2 linked regions of the Drosophila melanogaster genome follow. The protein of the gene in region 1 interacts with the protein of each later gene in a pairwise test. Each region holds a gene or a part of one and is shown on either strand. Other genes may lie near its edges.

Evidence for each region.
Region 2: the proteins of rec (region 1) and CG10298 interact in a two-hybrid assay, tested with the Drosophila melanogaster proteins (one large-scale study listed by BioGRID).

What each region holds. Positions count from the first base shown.
Region 1 is NT_033777.3:15,829,382-15,834,579, reverse strand, and holds the start of rec (recombination-defective), read left to right. Parts: upstream 1-1,947; 5' UTR 1,948-1,962; coding exon 1,963-4,226; intron 4,227-4,258; exon of another isoform or gene 4,259-4,310; coding exon of another isoform or gene 4,311-4,415; intron 4,416-4,486; coding exon of another isoform or gene 4,487-4,629; intron 4,630-4,691; coding exon of another isoform or gene 4,692-5,032; intron 5,033-5,096; coding exon of another isoform or gene 5,097-5,198. Other genes in the region: CG43317 (uncharacterized protein), read left to right, coding at 215-544, 646-1,056; CG43318 (uncharacterized protein), read left to right, coding at 1,187-1,189, 1,297-1,812; CG4576 (uncharacterized protein), read right to left, coding at 4,311-4,415, 4,487-4,629, 4,692-5,032, 5,097-5,198. UniProt on the Drosophila melanogaster protein: Required for meiotic DNA recombination in females. Probably not involved in DNA repair and recombination in somatic cells.
Region 2 is NT_033777.3:6,340,991-6,344,403, forward strand, and holds CG10298 (uncharacterized protein), read left to right. Parts: upstream 1-2,011; 5' UTR 2,012-2,079; coding exon 2,080-2,160; intron 2,161-2,213; coding exon 2,214-2,696; 3' UTR 2,697-2,809; downstream 2,810-3,413. Other genes in the region: Osi20 (osiris 20), read left to right, coding at 1-106; CG17917 (uncharacterized protein), read left to right, coding at 1,011-1,145, 1,346-1,846; CG17919 (uncharacterized protein), read left to right, coding at 3,131-3,259.

The sequences.
Region 1 (5,198 bases):
TCCATTAAATACTACAAGTTTTTTAGTTCGTTATTAATATTTTTTTATAAATTGTTGTACATCAACCAATTTAAATATGTTTGACAGTTCCAGATTTTCTGTCAGAAATCGAATCGAAACATCGAATGCTAAACAAATCAAGTTTGTGTTAAATGTTTAAAATTTTTAATGTTTGCGCCATCCACAAAGGAATTTGATTGTGACTTCGCTCTTTATGGATGAAAGTAAAAAATTCCTCCAGAACGTTGCCCATATCGCTGGCAAATTGGATCTCAACCACTTGGAAAGAACCACGATGGCCTACAAACGTTTATGTCTGGAACTAGAGTCCATGAGCAATGAGGTGACTCCAGCCGTTACTCCTCCGACTTCGGCTTCTGCTTCTCCGCCGACCGCGGTCTCCCCTAATGGACTCCGAGCAAGTGCCTCAGAATTCGTGCCCCAGGTGCCGGTGACCAGTGACCGGATTCCCATTGAAATGGACAATGATGAACAGGATGATGATTCGGATGACGATGGCTACGATGAGGAGCGCAAGAGAGCTGTGAGTATTGGAGATTTGGAGATATGTCTCAGTTTCTAACCATCAACACTATCTATAACACAAAATATTAATTTATCTAAAGATAAATCTACCTAATTTAGCCAAAGCCCGCAATATACGGCATCCGGTTTTATAACCATCATTACGAGTCCGACGACGTGAGCGAAAATCACTTGCAGGCGGAAAAGAAGCGAAAGTTGGGCTATAGGACTCCAAAGTTTCGGCCAAACCAGCCGACTTGCCGGTCCCCAAAGTCGGAAACGGACTTTATTCCCACTGCTAAGCCTCCGCCGGAATTGGCCAATGGACAGCCGCATTTCAATGGACCCTACATGCCGCTTCTGCAGCACCGAATCGCCAACGCAGAGGCCTACGGGCTCATCCAGGGTTCCGACGAGCGGAACAGCCTGCTCCTGGATGACATGGTTAAGCAACTGGCCCGCCTGGACAACTGTCCCGTCAATCTGAGTTCACTTTTCCCGAAAAAAGGTGACCAGAAACCAGAACCCTAGATCGCTCTGAATGTTCTGTAAAAAACTATGAGTTTCTTATTAAAAGGAGGCTTTGACTTAGTATTCGATCTGCTATTCAGTTTTATCATTGGTTGCATACGGTCTCTAAAACTTTTCAGCAGAGAACAAAATGGTAAAAAAAAAAATAAATAAATACAAAGCTGTAGATAACCAAAAAAAAAGGCGATAGCTGTCAATTTCTAAGGCTAGTTAGTTAGTAAGCCCTAATTTCCCTTACAGATTCCAGCTAAAACCGAGACGGAAGCTCCGTGCATTAAAGATCCCAAGGAGATTGAAGCAAAACCTGCTGAAAACATGGAAATTATTCATAAAACGATCGTGGAGGATAAAAAGCACAAAGATCCCAAGGAGATTGAAGCAAAACCTGCTGAAGCCATGGAAAGTGCTGCTAAAATGTTCGTGAAGGATAAAAAGCATATGGAGCAAATGTTGGCTCTTTCCACGATTCCACTGCGCATGGACCAACAAATCCAGTGCATCAAGACAATTCAGCAGGAGCTGCTTAAGCTTCACCTGAAGCAGGTGATGCTCCTCGACGGCTGCACCGAATTACTACATGAACTAAAGGCCGTGCAGCCCACTGATGAGAACGAGGAGATAAAAGTGTTGGAAACATTTCGTGAGGTCAAGTCGAAGCTATCGGGTGTATTTGAACACTACCTTCCCGCCCAGCTGAGCATACTGAAGCAAGAATCGAAGATATCACAAGTGTCCGCCGAAATAATTCCAAAATAATTTTATTACATCGATTTATAAGTTTAAATATAAAATCGTTAAGGGTTCAATATCTTAGCCAAAGATCGTTATCGATATTTCATGTCATTTGTAATATAGGTATCATCTCTATTTAAAAGCGGGCAAATTTGTAAACTTTCCCCAGCTGAAATGAATCCAACGCTTTCCCGGGGGGGCGCCCCATCGCGATTTGTGCGTGGTCGTGGTCGCGGAGGCGGAGCCTACCGTCCGTACTTCTACTTTCGGCGCAATGGACGTGTGATCCCAGCCGGAGGCAATCGACAACCCAACCAAGGGGAACCTGGAGCACCAGACGCTCCTTCTGTTCCGCCTGCAACTCGGCAACCCAGGGGCTGGAGCCGCACAGCCGGCAAGCGAGGACGCAATGCTCACTTGGACTGCAGCTTTCTGCGGCCGGAAAACTATGCCGCACCAGAAGACGGGCTCCAGGTGCAGAGCATTGCGGTGGATAATCCACGGGCTTATTCCGGCTGGCGACTGTACTTCTTGCGCGAGAAATACGAGGAGGGCAACGAACTGGCCACAAGGATAATGGCCGTGGAGGCATACTACCAACGTAATCCTCACACCTTCGATTTTGTGATGATACGGGATCGGGGATTCTTCCCCCTCTGCGCAGCAGGCATCAAATCAGATGCCCAGCTAAAGGAGGTTTGGCCTAGTTTGTCCGAAGACATCCGTGAGCACCCGCTTCGCACGCTAGGAACCCTGTCGTTGGCTATGCACACTGTGGTCGTCAATCACCAGCTGGACTGTAATGATTCCACCACAGCTATGGTGTCCACTCCGGAACAGTACGTCCTTCCAACCCCACGGGTACGCAAGATCTACGCACGACCGGATGATTTTGTGCCTGTGGAATCAATAGAAGGAATAAGCCATTCCCGAGTGGACACTTTGTTTTCCATCCGGGGTTTTGTGAGCAATGTGGGCGAGCCTAGCTACAGCCTCACGTGGCAAGCCTTTCGCTGCAGTCGCTGCCAGATGGAGATTGCCATGCGCCAACGGGGAACCTTCCAGCCACGTCCTTATCAATGCAAGCGGTCGGAGTGTGTGGCTCGTGACGAATTCGTGCCTCTTCGCAGTTCCCCATACACCAGGCTTTCAATCCGACAGATTATCCGCGTGGAGGAGTCCAGTTTGAACTTGGTCCACGACTTTGAGACCAGCATGCCTGCTGAAATGGACGTGGAGCTGCGACATGATCTAGTTGATGCTGTGCGTGTCGGACAGGAGGTCGTGGTAACTGGCATCCTTAAGCTGCAGGAATTGGGCGACGATACCACCACTGGAGACACCTCCAACCAGATGCAGCCCTATCTCAAGGCAGTCAGCATTCGCGATGCGAGCAGCATCAAGCGGGAGTTCAGCGAACGTGACTTGGAAGCGATTGTCATGATCAATGCGGAACCCAACAGCTTTAAGCTACTGGTGCAATCCATTGCCCCGGAGGTATACGGACATGAGCTACCCAAAGCCGCCTGTTTACTATCCCTTCTCGGCGGGAAAGGTGCGGAGACTGAAGCCATCAACGTGCTCCTGGTGGGTGATCCCGGAATTGGAAAGACCAAGATTCTGCAAAGTTGTGCTCAGATCGCTGAACGTGGTGCCCACGTGAGTGGAAAACGTGGGGCTCAATCCGCACAGCAACTGGGTGTTACGTTTGCTGGGCGTAACAAGCGTGTGCTACAAGCGGGTTCCTTGATGATGGCCAGTGGAGGCGGTCACTGCACCCTCGATGATGTGGATAAACTTGCCTCCAAGCAGGCCGTACTGTTGCAGTGCCTACAATCAGAGGAAGTAAATCTTCCACTTGCAGGAGCATTTGCCTCATTCCCGGCGCAACCTTCGGTGATAGCGTGCGCAAATCCACAAAGAGGACAATACGATGAGGGGCGCTACCTTCTACAGAATATTAATATTTCACCCTCTTTGCTGCGGGAGTTCCATTTGGTTTACATATTATTGGACAAGCCCTCGGAGAGAGATATGTCGCTGACTGCCCACGTAAGGGCTCTCCATGCGGGCGCTAGGAAACGAGCGAGAATTGCAGCCCGCTATGCTCTTAAGCCCAAAATGAGCGACTCCATGTGCGAGGTCAGCCTTAATGTGCCGGCAGCGGGAAAAGATGATGACACAATCAAAACGGAGGACGATAATGACAGCATTATGCAGCAGGATTATGATCTTGACAAACGTCTGGAGGTACTTCCGGAGGAGGGGGACTTGGACCTGCTCCCACCCATACTGATTAAGAAGTTCTTGTCCTATGCTCGCCAGGAATTAAATCCGGTCCTAAACGAGGACGCCAGCAATGCTGTTCTGCGTTACTTCCTTGAGCTCAAAGGAAGCTGCAATCTCGATGAAGACGTTTCCAGCCAGATTGGCGCAGGGTAAGTGAAATTTTTTGGTGACGGATTTAATTAAGTTATGTCTTTTATTCTAGTTATAAGTAATCTTTAAGTTAGGACATTGGGCTACCTCATAAGCTTGAGGAAGGAGGAGACGGGAAGCTCCAGAAAGATGGCCAGCAAGAAGGAGCAGAGATAGGACACGGTCACCGTAAAAAAGATGAAAGCAAACTGTAGATAAGATGAGAACAATTTGAGTTACATAAAATCCAATTCCTATTGAATGCCAGAAGTGAGCTCACCATCATGCCCGTGCCAAAATAAATGGGCTCCCGCACTGTGGCCAAGACGATTCTCGCCACAAGAAGGTGGACGATAAAGGCTCCATAAGTGAGGCGTCCCAAAATGCGGAAAATGGGCAAGCAGCAGAACTTACGGAAAATCCCTGTGAAAGAACAGTAAGATTTGCCAAGGATATACCAAGCATATCTCGCAGTTGATACTTACATCCCACTTTGCTGGCCATGCCCACGATGAAGATTCCCAGCCCGAAGCCCCAGATGTTTCGCTGCAGGCCGGCATATAATGCTCCCCAAATGGCCGACGGCGTCACGTAGTAGTGCTGGAAGATGGGATGAGCACTAAACAGCCATAGAATCCCCACTGGAATAAGTGTAAACCAAAGAAGCTGGAAGCTCTTTAACTCCCGTAGTTTGTATTGCTTCAATGCCAACTGATCGTAAACCAAAGCGGCCAGGACTCCACAGAAATAGCTACCGAAGTTCATAAAGGACGACGTGTAGAATTCGGTGAATTGACGATCTCCGATAAAGGAATCCTTCTGGGTTCTGTTTGGTAGATGGGTAGAATGATTGTAATCAAGTAGTAAAGTTTTTAAGTCCGATCACTTACTGTGGCGTGGGTACAAAAATGGGATAGTAGTTCATGGCATATGTGAGCACCATTGGCACCACCACAAAAAGACCCAAAATGCCCGCATAGAGCTGTTTGCTC
Region 2 (3,413 bases), 9.5 Mb from region 1:
GAACCTGGCCTACAGCTCGTACCATCCTAGCAGCTCGTCGTCCTACTCCTCGGGATCCTCGTCGGGATCCTCGGGTTCTTCGTCCAGCTACAGCTCGTCCTCCTAAACGGGGAAAGTCATTCGCCCAATTGTACATACCAAGGAATTTGCGATCCTTCCCAGGAAGGATGGCTGCGAGTCACACAGACCAAATGGAACCGGAACCTGCCCCAGGCCATAATTGTAGTTGTTAGGGTTAGGAACGCGAGAGTTTTAGCCATTCTTCAGCTCTAACCACATCCCCACTTAGCCTGATTTTACCATCTTCTTCATACCATCTTCTTTCTCATTGACTCTTCGTCCTTTTGCCTTCGTTTCTTTGTCACAAAACGACCAAAAACTGAATTTAATTAATATTTATTTAATTTATTAAAAATGCAAAAATTTAAAACATTCATCAACGTTTTTTGGTACGGAAATTGGTAAATTAAATAAGATATAATAACTTAATATTTATTATATTTTGTGCAAGGTCATTTGCAATCTGAGAATGATTCGATCTCGATCTAATTATGATTCGATCTTGGATAGATCGCGATCGTTGACAGCGGGCTTTTCTCTGGGTGTATATAATATAATAGAATTTTAAGTAAATTCATTGATGTGCCTTACTTATGAAGTGCTCTGGGCAATGGCAAGTAAATGAGGGGTCACGTAGCATAATAGTCAACTAAACGAGGTACTAACTGATTTTATAGTGTATGTTTACAGAACTCGCCAGCACGCAACTGCTGTGGGTGGTGGTAGTGAACCATTAATTGGCCTGAGACACGACAATTTGTTTTATGAAGTTGTAAGGAAGTTGCAAAGTACCTTAACTTAATGGAACTGACATCTGTGTTTGCTGCTTAATTGGCCAGGCAGAAAACATATGTTAGATGCAATGGGTATTTAAAGCCAGCAATCAGCCAATTTGAAGTCAGTGAAAGACTTGGTTCACAATGTTGGCTAGCATATGTATCCTACTTTTCATGCGATTCGCGCCAAGCTTGAGCCTCAAATCAACTAGAGGAGTTCATCAGTCGGATACGGAAGTGAGCAAGATCATGAGGTCCTTGGATGTGATACCAGATGTAATACACATCGGACCGCAGGAGTTTCTTAATGTGAGTAAAACACAAATAATGATCTCATAAAGAATTATTTAAGAGATAATATTCGGATATCTAAGAATTTGAATTCCAATTTAGTTTAACCAAAAAAATGTATGCTATGCCCAATTCAACAATTGTATTTCTAGGCAACTGTTCAAAATTAAATAATATACTTTTAATCATATTATGAAATTGAATTGCTCCCACAAAAGGTTACTTACCACGGGCATTTAGCAGCACATTGTGGAAAGGTACTGGAACCCATGCAAGTGCGTGATGAACCCTCCGTAAAGTGGCCCTCGGCACCGGAAAACTACTACGCCCTGCTGATGGTGGATCCGGACGTACCCAATGCTATAACACCCACGCACCGGGAGTTCCTACACTGGATGGTCCTCAACATACCCGGCAATCTGTTGGCCCTTGGGGACGTGCGCGTGGGATACATGGGTGCCACTCCGCTGAAGGGGACCGGAACCCATCGGTTCGTCTTCCTGCTCTACAAACAGAGGGACTACACCAAGTTTGACTTCCCGAAACTGCCGAAGCACTCGGTTAAGGGTCGCAGTGGCTTTGAAACCAAGCGGTTCGCAAAGAAATACAGATTTGGCCATCCGGTAGCTGGGAACTTCTTCACATCCCAATGGAGCCCCGATGTCCCATCCCTTATCAAAGCCATCTCGCACAATGCCCGTCAAGTAGCACACTTTTGAATTTAGAGTCCAGCTTCCAATAAAAATAATTCCAAATATATCTCAGAAGAAGCTATTGAAAGTATGTCCTTATAAGGATATTTAGGTCAGATTACAAGGACACCATTTTTGGAAATATTGGCTATCTATTGACTATCAGCCAGAAATGTTAGAATTAAAGTCGGCGTAGCCTTAAAATACGAAATTTTCTGGCACCTCAAATTTCATTTTAGTTGTTGCCCACTCAGCTAAAAATGTCCGATTCCACCGTGTGCTTCTCTAAGCACAAGATCGTGCCGGATATCCTGAAGACGTGTCCTGCCACTTTGCTTACGGTAAGCTAATACAAATAGCGCCTACAATCGTCCATGTCATTTTGTTGTTCCAGGTGACTTATGGTGGTGGACAGGTGGTGGATGTAGGCGGTGAATTGACACCCACGCAAGTGCAGAGCCAGCCAAAGGTGAAATGGGATGCAGATCCGAATGCCTTTTACACGCTCCTCCTGACCGATCCGGATGCGCCCAGTCGCAAGGAGCCCAAGTTCCGCGAGTGGCACCACTGGCTGGTGGTCAATATTCCAGGGAACCAAGTCGAGAACGGCGTAGTTTTGACCGAATATGTGGGTGCAGGTCCGCCGCAAGGCACGGGGCTTCATCGTTACGTCTTCCTGGTCTTCAAACAGCCCCAAAAGCTCACTTGCAACGAGCCCAAAATCCCAAAAACGAGCGGCGACAAGCGAGCCAATTTCAGCACCTCCAAGTTCATGAGCAAGTACAAGCTGGGAGATCCCATTGCCGGAAACTTTTTTCAGGCACAGTGGGACGACTATGTGCCCAAGTTATACAAGCAACTATCTGGCAAGAAGTAGTATCTTTCTCCTCATAATTAGGCTCCCAAATCCCTACAAAGCATGCTGTAAAGAAAAAGAATCATGTAAAAACAGATAAATTTCTAAATATCTATAATATATATTTAAAAAATATTTTTTTTCAAATCCAGTCCCTTTAATTACTCTATTACCAACTGGTATAATTTGCAAATAATATGAATAAATGTATAATAAATATAATGTATAATAATAATCTATAATCTCCGAAGCGAAACTTTAAACAAAGATAACTTTAATTATTGAGTATATTTTTTCCCAGCTGTTTACTAAACAAAAAGCTTCGAGCTTCGCTTTAAAAGTATGGCATCATGGCAAACTGGTTTCAGTTGCAGACCAACCTTATTCGAAAGCGGAGCTCCTATATATTGGTTTTCTCAAGATCTTATCGTCTACCGAATAATCTCTCCACAAAGATGCTGCGAGTGCTACTGCCATTGGTGGGCTGCCTACTGGCCGTTCAAGCTGGCTCCGTGGAGGAGGTTTTCAGATCCCACCAGGTGGTACCCGACGTTATTCCCGAGCCGCCGAACCAGTTGTTAAAGGTGGGGCCACTAACAAAAGCACACTAAAAAGATCCAAATATATAGAGGATATCTTTGTCTTAATAAATTGGATCCGAATAGTATGTACTCAACTACGTGCTTGCAGACCAGGTTAAAATATTTCAAACATTTAACACCCGAGCTTAATAGAAAT